Cricetulus griseus: one gene and its partners. The protein of the gene in region 2 binds, or shares a complex with, the protein of the main gene of each other region. Links are inferred from orthologs where the notes say so. Each region holds a gene or a part of one and is shown on either strand. Other genes may lie near its edges.

Region 1 (3,520 bases), on a different chromosome or scaffold from region 2:
CCCCCCACCTCTCCACCTGTACCATTTCAGAATGGTTTGGGTTCTGGAGGTCTTGGTTTCCAAGGAAGGGATGATGTTCTAAGTAAGACCCAAGAAAAGGATTCTGAGCCTTAGAGCTTTGAAGCACCCACTGGGCCCTGACCTTCCTTCAGGAAATCCTGAGCTGGCATGTAGCCTCCATGCTTGCCTACTCTGCATGAGGCCTTCGGTCCCCAGCACCTCCTCTCCTGTACAGAGCTTGGGCCCTTGTCCTGGGCTGAGAGGTTGGCATTCTTGCCTTTCCCACAGCAAAAACAGCCTCTGTTCGTGCCTTGCTCTTCGACATCTCCTTCCTCATGCTGTGCCACGTGGCCCAGACCTATGGCTCAGAGGTGAGTGAAATGAGAGCTGGTGCCATTAAGAGGCACCAACTGAATGGGGCCCCATTGCTCTCCCAAGCCAGCAGGTTCTGTTGGCCTGAATTCTGGTGCCTGCTATGTCAGTGGGTCCCCAGCATTACAGGTCCTCTAGTGACATATTCACACTGACCACTAGGTGGCAGCACAGATCCCTGTCTGCCTCCCCTGCACACATTTGTCCTTGGAAAGGGAACAGCAAAAGAGCAGGGAACTGAGGCCCAGTCCCGGGCTCAGCTCTGACAGATGCCATACCGTCCTCTCTCAGCTGGTGCCTCTCTGTCTTATCCAGGTGATTCTCTCCGAGGCAAGCTCAGGAGAGGAGGTCCCCTTCTTTGAGACCTGGATGCAGACCTGCATGCCTGAGGAGGGCAAGATTTTGAACCCTGACCACCCTTGCTTCCGGCCTGACTCCACCAAAGTAGAGTCCTTGGTGGCCTTGCTCAACAACTCCTCTGAGATGAAGCTAGTGTTAGTGGCCTAGGTCCTGCCCTTGGGGTAGTCGTGGGGGCATTCCAAGACCCCCTCCCCACATCCTGTCTCCAGCTCCTTTGTAGTGATGCTCCTCCTATCACTTTCCCTCTCTGTAGACAGATGAAGTGGCATGAAGCCTGCCTGAGCATCTCAGCAGCCATTTTGGAGATCCTCAATGCCTGGGAGAATGGGGTGCTGGCCTTCGAGTCCATCCAGGTAGCTGCATTTGTACCTGGGCCTCCCTCTGCCTGAGACACAGGGCCAGTCATCGAGAGCTTGTTAGTTTGCATTCAAGCAAATCCTAAAGCCCGAGATCATGTTTTGGTATTAGTCTTAGAATCCTTGTCTTAGCCACTTCCTCCTTCTCAGTTATCTTTGAGAAAATCAAATTTGTGTTACAGAGGTATAGAATGTGATCCCCAGCTCTCCCAGACGCCATGGGAGTGATGGCTAAGGGGAGGCAAAGAGTCCCTAAGTCGCTCTCTTCTGCTCCCCACAGAAGATCACTGACAATATCAAGGGAAAGGTATGCAGTCTGGCAGTGTGCGCTGTGGCTTGGCTTGTGGCCCACGTCCGGATGCTGGGGCTGGATGAGCGTGAGAAGTCGCTGCAGATGATCCGTCAGCTGGCAGGGCCACTGTACAGTGAGAACACCCTGCAGTTCTACAATGAGAGGTCAGTAACCTGCCCTGCCCTTCCCGCCCCTCCCCTGCAGCCGTGTGGTGAGGAGTCAGCCCTCCAGGGACACAGGCATCCCACTCTGATGCTCTCTCTCGGCCTCCACCTTCCCAGGTAGCCGCTCACTAAGCCACTTCCCCTTCCATCTAGGTTCTGACCAGTCTGCCCTGGCAGCTGAGGGGGTGCACATTCAGAGTAGCTGGACTATCACCCACCTTTTCCCCTTTCCTACCACTCCCTCACATTCTTATTCACCCATTCATTCAACTGGCTCGGCAGGAATTTGGTGTGAGTCTCTGTGTATTAATCCTGCACCTCCCATAGGCAGGAAATATCGACCCCAAACAGCTTGACATCTGTCCTCCAGGCTCCAAATTCCAGAAAACGAGCTGAGGTAGAAGAGCAAAGGGATTAGCTGGCTTGGCTGTGTCACTGTCGAGGAACTCTGAGCCATCTGCAGCTTTTATGGCTTCCTTCCCCCACCCCCAGCTGTCCTGGTCACCAATTCAAGTCCTGGCTCTTCAGGGACTTCCACTAGGCTGAGTCCAGTCGCTTCATTCACTCCACTGTCAAGTTGTTTGACTGTTGGTTTTTAATGTGGCAAGAAGCATGTAATAGGCAATTTACCATTTCAGCTGTGTTTATATGTGTCATTCAGTATATGGGATCTGTTGTGAAACAGCCCTCCAGGCATTTTTCATCTTGTATATCTGGGCCTTTTACCCAACAAACATTGTCCACCTTCCCTTCTCTCAGTTCCTGGCAGCTACCATGCTGTGTCCTGTCCCGGAGTTTGGCTACGCTTAGATACTTCATATAACTAGAATTACGTAATATCTGCCTTCTCATGACTTTACTCAGCATAATTTCCTCAAAATTCACTCATATTCCAGCATGTGACAGGATTTCCTTCCTTCCTTTTTTTTTTTTTGGAGACAGGGTTTTTCTGTAGCCCTGACTGGCCTCAAAATCAGAGATGCTTCTGCCTCTGCCTCCCCAGTGCTGGGATTAAAGGTGTGCGCCACCACCGCCCAGTGATATCCTTTCTTTTTAAGCCCGTATGTGCCCTTTCTGACTACCATCCTGCCCTTGAGAGGCACTGGGGGAACACTGCTCTGAGTGGGTGCTGAGGGCAGCTCACAAGGCAGCTGCTAGGATGTTTTCTGAGCGACAGCTGAAACCGTTTGGGGAAGGGTCTGTAAGAGCACATCTGCTCTCCCCTTGCTATAGAAAATTTGCTTTGACATCATCCATCTCAAGTGTGTGTGTGTGTGTGTGTGTGTGTATACATGTGTACGTATGTGTGTGTATGTGTGCTTGCGCACATGCATGCATATGTACTCACACATACACGTACACGGGCACAGTGGAAATCCAGAGCCTCCTGTGCAGGTGGAGAGGAGCTCTGAAAGTAGCAGCAGCATCCCTGTGCCCCGATCCCCACTGCTTTCATAGCCCCAGATGTTCCTGAGAGGGTTCCTGGCTGTGAACACTTTGCCCAGCTACCCAAGGCTGGGAAGAGTCCTGGGGGCTGCCCAAGGGCCTCTTCTGGAAGTTACAGTTTACTTTGGGAGGAGGCCAAGGCTGGGCGGGGACATCCCCCCACCCCCAGTACTCAGTGGGAAGTGATTGTATTTATTTATGACCCTGATTTGGCAGAGCTCAGTCCTGGGGGATGGGAGAGGCTGGAGCGGGAGAGGGAGAACAGAAAATCTGAATATATTGATGGAACTTGCAAGAGAAAAATCTCTGCCCTGTGCCTTTCTAGGCTTCATGCGGAGCACGTAAGCTCCTTGTCAGTAGTGGTTGTATCGTGTCCTCCCCTAGTGTGCAGTGGGTCTAATTCCCCAGCCACGTTTCCGTAACCTAATTCCAGGGGTAATGCCTGCATGTATCCTCCTTGCCCCCAGAGTGGTGATTATGAACTCAATCTTGGAACACATGTGTGCGGACGTGCTTCAGCAGACAGCAAC
Region 2 (4,188 bases):
TCCCCAAAGTTGTATTAAAAGTAATTTATTGGGAGAGTACTCTCCAGTGGTACATCTTTTTATAAGACATCCATGCGTGGAATAGGAGTTTCCAGTGATGTGGCTGCCCATGTCACCATGCTGCTATAAGTAATTATAATAAACTCATTGGTTCACCAAGCTGCACTTGAATGGAATCCTTTATTTAATCTGTCAATGCCCTCTGTTTGTGGTATGTAAACGTTAATTTACATCTCCCCAAGGAAAAATCATGTGACAAGTTATCACCAGCCACAATGTATAATTTTTAAAAATCATGGACTTAACTTCAGCTGAAACTCTGAAGTTTCTGGGAAAAAAAAAAAAAAACATTGATAGCATCATGTCCTTAGAATAAAGGAGAAATTATTGATAACAAGACAACAACCACAACAAATTCAAAGTATCCATGAAAATTAATCTACAATGAAAGAAATGTTTAATAAAGTAAGAAAATATTCCAGGACTCAGGTGGTTGAGGCAGGAAGATTTTGAGTTCCAGGCTAACCTGGGCTATATAGTGGTCTCTGTTTAGCCTACTTAGACTACAAAAGACCCCATCTTGAAAAGAACCAAAGGAGAGAGGAGGTGAGAAGAAAGGGAGGAAAATGGAGGGGAGGGGAGAGACTAAGGGAGGGAGGAAAGAAAGAAAAAGAGGAGGGGATAGAAGTGTTATCCGAGAGCACAAACTAAAGCAAAGAAAAATGTTGTCTATATAAGATGAAAAACTTGAATACAGGATGTATTAGAACCACAAATAAGCTTATGAAAAATTATATGATTGACAGTAGACAGAAGATGTAAACAGTCCAGTCATAAACATCAAGGATGTGACAAACGAATGGTAGTATAAATAGAGAGTGCTTTCTGGATTTAGGGCAGTGTGGTTGAGCAGCTGGCTGCATAAATTTTCCAGGGCGATGCAAAATAGTGTTTTTAATCATGTGCTTAACATCACCAATCAAAATTAATTAAATTAATAACAATGCGCTTATTCCTTTTTTTTTTTTCAAAATTCATCGAAAGAACGTGCCCATCTCCTAGCAACTGAGGCAACTACCATAAAGAAGATAGGGTGCACGCGGGCAAGAATAAAGCGGTATCGACTCTTTCAGATGGTCAGTCCTTGACAGGCATCGCTTGGTTTGGCTGCAAAAGAACTTAAAATATGACGCAGCTCCGTCTCCAGCCAGGAGGTGGTGACCAAGGCAGCAGGTCTCATATCAAACAAGGTGCGCTTGTCAGCTTGCGGGCCACCTCAGCTTGCGGAACCATCGGGTAGGGCTACAGATACTCGGAGTGGTTGTAATGAGAGCGCACCGGGCCCTTCCGAGCTTCCGGGCGGGCTCTCTTTAGTTGCGGACCTCTGAAGGAAGCGAGCGAGAAAGCCGGGCTTCCTTCCTGTGGTTCCTCCCCTTGGCACCTTTCTTCCCGGATCGAGGGGTTTACCCGCGCCTTGGCGGGCACCCCGGGAGCCCGGGGCTCGATGGTAACGATGGAGACGCAGCTGCAGAGCATTTTCGAGGAGGTGGTGGTGAGTGCAAATGTCCGTGACCAGGGGGAGAGGGGGTGGGGGAAGTAGGGAGGAGACTGCGGCCCGGCTCTGGGCCTGGACCAGGGCCGGCTCCTTTCCCGCCCCCTTTGTTTGTTTTGACATTGGAGTCTATACTAGGGTTGGCGATCCCTGGGCAGCTGTCAGATTCAAAGAAAGCATCGTTAGTTCCCGCGCGTTCCTGATAAAAGTGACTTGTTCTATATTGCCCTAAACTATTTCTCTAGGGAACACCTCCCACCCCCTTTTGATTATTCAGATCCTTTACTGTATTTTGTTTGTTTGCAGAAAACAGAAATTATAGAAGAGGCTTTCCCAGGGTGAGTATGAGGCAGGCAGGATTTTTGTGAGATGTATCTTTGTAAGATTTTACTTACGTTGGTTTGGGGGAGTTGCAATAATTGCAAGTAATGTGATTTTTGTTTTTTAGCATGTTTATGGATACCCCTGAGGATGAAAAAACAAAACTAATTAGCTGTTTGGCAGCCTTCCGACAGTTTTGGAATGGGCTTTCTCAGGTGAGACATTACCTATGTAACAGCCAGTTGATGACTTCTGGTTCCTTCTTACTTTTTATGTCCACATTGACCTTTTTCTTAAGATCATTTAGGAATAGGAAAAATAAAATTGCCATCATTTTACATTCATATCTTTTTTTGCCACCCCCAAGACAGGGTTTCTCAGTGTAGCTTTGGAGCCTGTCCTGGAACTTGCTCTGTAGACCAGGCTGGCCTCGAACTCACAGAGATCTGCCTGCCTCTGCTTCCCAAAGTGCTGGGAATAAAGTCATGCACCACCACCGCCTGGCTACATTTATTTCTTTACTGCAGAACCTGCATTGAAAGTTCAATGTAATAAGATCCCAGTGGGAGATGTTTTTTTAAAAAATTTCTTTCATGTTAGATTATATAAGACATTTTATTCTATTTTGATACATTTGCTTTCCACATGGAAACAGATAATGTTAAGCATTTCTTGTAAAAGAAAAATGTCACGGTTGAAAAAAATTACCCAGGATTTATGAGTATACCCTCCTAAAGATGCTGTAATAGAGTCCCTGTTAGTACATTATCTTCTCATGGTACACTAAACATAGGGAAGTGAGCTACTGAGCTTTTGCCTCTGAGCCAGTGGTAATGTTTGCCACCCTAAAGACAATATGTTCTAAGTTTATTTTCAAAAGGTAGTACTTTGCGTGAATCAGAAAGCAGAAGAGTGGCTCCAAAGGCTGGTTTTCTTCCTTTTCTAGCTTAGCTCCCCCCCAACCCCCGTCTGAAGCTAGAATCACAGTTGGTGGTCCCTGAACTGTTTATCTACATATGAGACTGTGTCTGTCTATGTCACCCCGCCTTTGTCTCCTGAGTTCTGGGATTACAGAGTCGTCTGCCATCACAGTGTGCTTTTTCTCTTTTAACAGTGCTGGGAATACGGGGTTCCTTCCACATGCTAGGCATACGCTCCTCTCTGAACTGCATCCCCAGCCTCAGAATTATATTTTTATTTTATAGAATCACCATTTGTATACACCTGAAAGATGGTCTTGATATCAGCAAGACTTTTGGTGTCAGATTTTAATTATGAAGACCTAGAAATTAGATTTGTGTTTGGAATCATGGCAGGCTCTGATTAGCCTTCATGGGGACTGTATTCATCTAAATTTTGATGAGGCTGAGGTCCCCACCTAAGTTAGGTTCTTTTCCTCCAGCAAGTGGAATATTTATATCACCTTGTAAAGATGCTGCTTAGAGTAACTTAGATGAGTTTCTATTGGCCGTGAATTTGCTAATATAATCTTAGCGGCTTTTGGAGGTCTCATGGTAGGAGTTTAATTGAAATATTTAAGAATCAGTGTAACAAATACTAATTAAATCTTTATTTGGGGGCAAGGTCTTGCTAGATATAGCTCAGGCTGACAGAACTCTATATGTAGCCCAGGATAGCCTCACATAGACGTCATCCCCTCAAGTACTGGGTTTACTGGCATATACTACCATGCCCACAGTTGAATCTGACTTGAATCTTGCCCTTTTAGGAATTATTTTAATTTACTGATGTTCACAGTCCAATATTTTATTTACGGTACTGATATATCCCCTGGTATGATATTAACCATTTCTGTTCCTTAGAAAATGTAACTTCAGGCCTAAAATAAAAACTTTTTCTAATTTTTAGGATTCTCATGAACAATGCATCCAGTGGATTGTTAAATTTATTCATGGCCAACACAGCCCTAAAAGAATTTCTTTCCTTTATGACTGCTTGGCAATGGCAGTTGAGACTGGCCTCCTTCCACCCAGGTATGTGTGGGTGGGGATGACCTGTACAAAGACCTTCCCTCCAAAAGAGGCAGAGTTGATTTGAGGTTGTTGTACAGAGATAAGAGATGGAGAGGGGCCTGGGCTCGTTAGTAAGTCAGTTTAAAAGTCGGTTATTTTTGGTTTCAAATTTATTTTGTTTTTGATGTGTATGCATCTGCGTTACTAGTTGCTATGTTTATAGGAATGCCTGAGAGGCCAAAGTGGGTGTCGGATCCCTTAGAGCTAGAGGTAACAGGTAATGGGAGCCACCTGGCATGGCTTCTGGGACCTGGACTCGGCTTCTTCGAGAAAGTGTGAGCT
Region 3 (2,526 bases), about 220 Mb from region 2:
TAAAGTAGATGAGCCAAGCCTCACTAGGGTTGTTTGTAGGATCCCGAGTAAGACTTCTAAAAAAGTAGAAAAGCCTGGAAGTGGTGGCGCCCGCCTTTGGTCCCAGCACCCAGGAGGCAGAGGCAGGGCATCTTTGTGAGCTCGAGGCCAGCCTGGTCTATAGAGCGAGTTCCAGACAGCCAATGCTACACAGAGAAACTCTGTCTCCAAAAACCAAAAAATAAAATAAAATAAAAAAATAAAGAAAAGAAAAAGGACTGAAAGTTTCCCTCAGAAGAAAAACAAAAAATTAAAAGAACAAAAACTATATGACTTCACATGGAGATAGAGGGTGACAACTTGCAGCAGTCGGTTCTCTCCTTCTATATGTGGTCCTGGAGAGGACTCTGGCCCTCCACAGGTGTGCCCACACACATACACAACAACAATAATAGTAAAAGGGTAATATAACAATAGTAAATAGTTAAGAAGTAATAATAATAGTAAGAATAAGGATCAGAATCGAAATTTCTTTCCCGTCTTTATTACCATACAATGCCAGCTCACAACACTGTTACACATCTTATATACAAATGACAAAGTAAGATAAACAAAAACATGAAAACAAAAAATAAATAAATAATATATATATAAAAACAATGAAAAGGCAAAACAATCATCAGAGTTGTTTTTTGACATTTTCCTCTGAAAAGCTAATTTATTCCAGTTCCCTCTCTTTGAGCAGAGGGAGGACTTGGTCAAATCTCCATGTTATCCTGGGCTTTTAATGGGAGAAGACTGTCAAGGAGATCAAACAGCCGGCTTCGTAAGGAGAGCCTTAATGTGGGTAATTAGGCAGACGGGCTCTGCGTTACTGGCTAGTTACGGAGTGAGTTCCAGGTGAGCCAGGGTAAGACCCTGCCACCAAGAAACAAACAAACACAAAAGATGAAATTACTATATAAAGGAAATGGTCCAAAGGAAACATATTCTCACCACTTAAGTTTTCCGGAAGGGAGTCGGCCTGACTGGCAGCAGTGAACCAGGGCACTTGGGAGATCTTTCTGCCTATCAGGTGAGGACAGACCTCAAAGATGGACAGACCTTCTTAATCACATAAGCCTTTTGGGGTCTATTTTTTCCAGGTGAACCAGAGGTTTGAGCTGCTCCGCAAAATTCCTCATGTCATCAGAGACCATGTCCTGCCCAGCTGGTGCAACAACACTCAATTCCACAAGATAGGAGAGAGACAGGGCCTCTGTGCTGTCTGTGTTCCCTGGGACCAGGATTCGGAAAATCTTGTACACCACAATCTTCATGATGCCCTTCCGGAACAAGTGTCCTTTGGCTACAAACTCATGGTCCATGCGGAAGCCCATTTCCATCAAGAAGTCTGTGAGGTTCTCAGATGTGGCAATGTCCACACAGTTGCGAACCAAGGCGTGACGGTTCTTGTCTCCCATTTCTGGCTGTCCCAGGTAGCGCAGGTGCCACGGTGCCCCTGCCCTGTCCATGGAGCGTCGGGCCCTTAGAACAAATGGACTGGCCTGCTGGCCCTTAAGAAGGAATACCATCTCGTGATCAAGGAAAGTCTCAGGCTCCATGTTGTCACACAAACCACGAAGGCGATGGATGAGACTTTCCAAACTGTGGTCTAAAACACTCCCTGAAGAGGTAAAAAGACAATGAGTCCTGGATTTCATGCAAAGTCATGAAACTAGCAGAAGATAAACACACACCAATAAATAATAATTCTATGCATTGTTTCATGTGAACCATCCATGGGATTCTACTGGTTCTCTACCTCTGCTATGTGGTTCTCATAGATTGATCTCAGGCTATCAGGCTTCAAAGCAAGTACCCCGTGGTGGTTGGAGTAAGAATGCTCCCATAGGCTCTTACATTTGAAGGTCTAGTCCCCAGGCAACAGAATGTTTACGGAAAAATTAGAAGGCATGTGCTTATTGGAAGGAGTTACAACACCAGGAGTGGGTTGAGTTTTCAAAAGCCCACGCCAGCCCCAGTGTCTTTCTCTCTACCAGTGGATCAGGCTGTAGCTCAGGGCTATTGCTCCAGCACCTACCTGCCTGCTAGCTTCCATGCTCCTCACCATAATGATCCTAAACCTCTGAAACTGTAAGCAAGCCTGCAATAATAAATGCTTTCTTTTGTAAATGTTGCCTTGTCATGGTGCCAAGAAACAGAACAGAAACTAAGACATAACCTTACAAATTAAGCTGTCTTGTGAGCCCATAGCCAGTTTTCTTTATTTTTTGAGACAAGATTTCTCTGTATAGTCCAGGCTATCCTGGAACTTGCTCTGTAGACCAGGCTAGCCTTGAATTTGGGGATCCACCTGTGTCTGCCTCTGGAGTGATGGGATTAAAGGCATACAAAACCATGCCTGTCTTCTTGTTCTTAAGTACAATTATATGAAAAGGAAAATTTGAATTTGTTCCATAAGTAGAATTTCATTAGCTGGAAATAAATAATTGCAGCTGGCTGTCAATCAATGGTAGAGCATGTGCTTGGAATGCAAGGCCTTGG
Region 4 (2,194 bases), on a different chromosome or scaffold from region 2:
ATTGCAAACTTCCAGATTTAACACCAGACGTCGGCTTTAAAGGAATAATGCAGAGGCTAGAGAGATGACTCAGTGGCTCACATTCTGCTCTTTGTATAGTACCAGTTTGGTTCTCAGCATCCACAGAAATGGCTTTCAACCACCTTCACTCCAAAAAAAGCCAACACCCTTTTAGCCTCTGCAGGAAATGCACTCACACTCACATAGACAGCTAACACAGGAAATATAGTTAGCACATAAGATATTTTAATGTCTAAAATGAACATAAACTTAGTGACCGAAGACTGATTACCTGACTGGGGGGAAGGGGAAGCCCCTAGCAGATATTTTATGGAAGATAAGGAAGAAGCGGCTGTGATACTGAGTTTGTAGAACAGTCATCAGGAAAATAGTTCCTGTATTGTTTTGGAATAAATCTAAACATTTTGTAATTTCACATGTACAGTTTGATGCCCTTTATTAGTCTTAAAGGAAATAACTCCCCCGTAAGAATGACAGTTCAATATTTCTTAAAATTTTTATTCCACTTCCAAAAATAGGACTATCCCATTCAATAGCAAACATTCTGCTTTTTTATGATCATTACTCAAATATACTTCCTTGCCTATCCTTACTGTTAAATTATCACCTACAGCATTTCAATTGAGAAAAGTCCCTTTATATTTTTAGTTATACCTCTTAAGACTGTCCAAGAGAAAATAAACTAATATATGATGCTATTCACTAAAAGAAAAAATACTCATGGTCTTTCATTCATTTCATCAACTAGGACACATAAGGCAGCATCTTTCTCTATAATCTGGTCCCTCCTGTGACCTGAATTTTCTCTTTGTTGTTCATTTTGTCCAGTACAATTGCTGTTATCATCAGTATCCATTGGCTCAGTTTTAACTCTCATCCCTGCTTCTGAATGGGGTAAATCATCTGGCAAAGAAGCAAGGCAATTTTGGATCATTTCAATTACTCGTTCCAGGTGTTTCTGAAACCTCTCAGCTGTTTCAAGACGTTGCCGTTTCTGGACCTCCATCATTACTCTCAAGGTCTCTCTTGCTTGGTGGGGTCGATACTCATTTATAAGATGATGCACATGTACGAAAAGCAGCTTAAGATCTTCTAGCTTCTCTTCTCGTTTTATACTCCCAGGGCTCCTTATTAAGATATCTAAAAGGTCCAAGAAATTAATCAGTATAGACATATTGAGTTTTCTCAGTTCTTTCTTGTGATCAAATTGCATAGGATGAAGCCGTTCAATGCCCTGACTTTCCAAAGGGCGAATGATAAGATCATCACATTGGAACTGGTTGCCGAACATCATGTAACTGTCTTTAATTGGAGGGGGAGGCTTGGGAGCTAAGCCTTCCTGAATATTTTCATCTGTATATTCCTTGATGTACTGCATTGGAGGTGGTGGGAGTGCACTCACTTGCTGTGGTTCACCCATTGTCGACAATCAAGAACCTAAAGAAACAGAACACAGATTCAGAGCAGAACCAGACAACACTACCCCCAACCACCATCAGTGACTTCAGAGTATGTTTTTCCTTCTTCTGACAGGACAGGGTCCAAGACAAGATGATCTCAGATTTAAAACTAACATTTACAAAAAGGGAATGGCCATCAATTATTTTCTAATTAAAGATTATGTTGTTAACACCCCTATTGTTTTCCTTTATCTCCTTGGTGCTTTCCAGAGCAGTTAAATAAACAAGTTACTCTTTTTCATATATAAATAAAATCTGAGGGGATTGGAAGCTAGGGCAGCCACACATCAGCTGGGTGTCTGCTGAGGCAAAAGAAAGATAACAGCCTACGGATGGATGTGCAGGGTGTCTTGTTTTTGCTTTGTGCCTAGGATCTTCTGTTGCCACCCCCTCCCTGCCCATCTGGGGGAAGAGGGTCTGTGCAGCAGACATCTAGAAAGGCACACCATTCCAGCAGAAGGCAGGTACCCATAATTACAGTAATGGCATTGAAAAAAATAAAAACAAACAAAAAACCTTTCTGAGCACAAAAGACACTAGCACTTGTTAATTTCTCAAAGATAAACCCATACAAAGCATCCTGAAAATAAAGGGGTGTGGTGGGAGGAAGAGGCTCTTATGACATCTGTCACTGTATCATGAAGCTTCACTGCTGAGGAAAAAAATTACCAACCAATGACCAGGGCAGCCTGGACAACATCAACTTCAATGTT

The links. Proteins that work in one complex are often made in the same cells at the same time.
Region 1: the proteins of Med23 (region 2) and Med24 are in contact, whole or in part, in a cryo-EM structure (PDB 7EMF), measured with the Homo sapiens proteins. The link is inferred for Cricetulus griseus from reciprocal best matches to the Homo sapiens genes MED23 and MED24. Residues at the interface, in NP_004821.2 of Homo sapiens: Asn150, Thr151, Val152, Ser153, Ser154, Glu193, Gly194, Leu196, Pro197, Trp199, Leu201, Gly202, Asn203, Ser206, Asp207, Asp210, Arg213, Tyr258, Asp259, Lys260, Phe263, Ser1133, Arg1139, Ser1176, Glu1180, Glu1182, Trp1183, Val1184, Tyr1186, Arg1189; in NP_055630.2 of Homo sapiens: Lys238, Thr239, Leu280, Leu283, Lys287, Val291, Glu295, Cys336, Glu339, Phe340, Lys343, Leu344, Thr345, Pro346, Leu347, Asp349, Lys350, Gln353, Lys384, Glu720, Lys721, Trp723, Thr756, Arg757, Lys758, Glu759, His760, Met802, Asp803, Pro804.
Region 3: Med23 (region 2) and Med18 share a complex: the UniProt entries of both Homo sapiens proteins name them as parts of the mediator complex. The link is inferred for Cricetulus griseus from reciprocal best matches to the Homo sapiens genes MED23 and MED18.
Region 4: Med23 (region 2) and Med7 share a complex: the UniProt entries of both Homo sapiens proteins name them as parts of the mediator complex. The link is inferred for Cricetulus griseus from reciprocal best matches to the Homo sapiens genes MED23 and MED7.

The regions. Positions count from the first base shown.
Region 1 is NC_048600.1:111,791,862-111,795,381, reverse strand, and holds part of Med24 (mediator of RNA polymerase II transcription subunit 24), read left to right. Parts: intron 1-54; exon of another isoform or gene 55-157; intron 158-288; coding exon 289-371; intron 372-687; coding exon 688-866; intron 867-985; coding exon 986-1,085; intron 1,086-1,368; coding exon 1,369-1,544; intron 1,545-3,457; coding exon 3,458-3,520. UniProt on the Homo sapiens protein: Component of the Mediator complex, a coactivator involved in the regulated transcription of nearly all RNA polymerase II-dependent genes.
Region 2 is NC_048595.1:244,044,920-244,049,107, forward strand, and holds the start of Med23 (mediator of RNA polymerase II transcription subunit 23), read left to right. Parts: upstream 1-1,382; 5' UTR 1,383-1,504; coding exon 1,505-1,552; intron 1,553-1,858; coding exon 1,859-1,890; intron 1,891-2,000; coding exon 2,001-2,088; intron 2,089-3,742; coding exon 3,743-3,867; intron 3,868-4,188. UniProt on the Homo sapiens protein: Required for transcriptional activation subsequent to the assembly of the pre-initiation complex. Component of the Mediator complex, a coactivator involved in the regulated transcription of nearly all RNA polymerase II-dependent genes.
Region 3 is NC_048595.1:20,804,475-20,807,000, reverse strand, and holds the end of Med18 (mediator of RNA polymerase II transcription subunit 18), read right to left. Parts: intron 1,646-2,526; coding exon 1,092-1,645; 3' UTR 502-1,091; downstream 1-501. UniProt on the Homo sapiens protein: Component of the Mediator complex, a coactivator involved in the regulated transcription of nearly all RNA polymerase II-dependent genes.
Region 4 is NC_048600.1:60,992,643-60,994,836, reverse strand, and holds the end of Med7 (mediator of RNA polymerase II transcription subunit 7), read right to left. Parts: exon of another isoform or gene 2,155-2,194; intron 1,459-2,154; 5' UTR 1,442-1,458; coding exon 740-1,441; 3' UTR 502-739; downstream 1-501. UniProt on the Homo sapiens protein: Component of the Mediator complex, a coactivator involved in the regulated transcription of nearly all RNA polymerase II-dependent genes.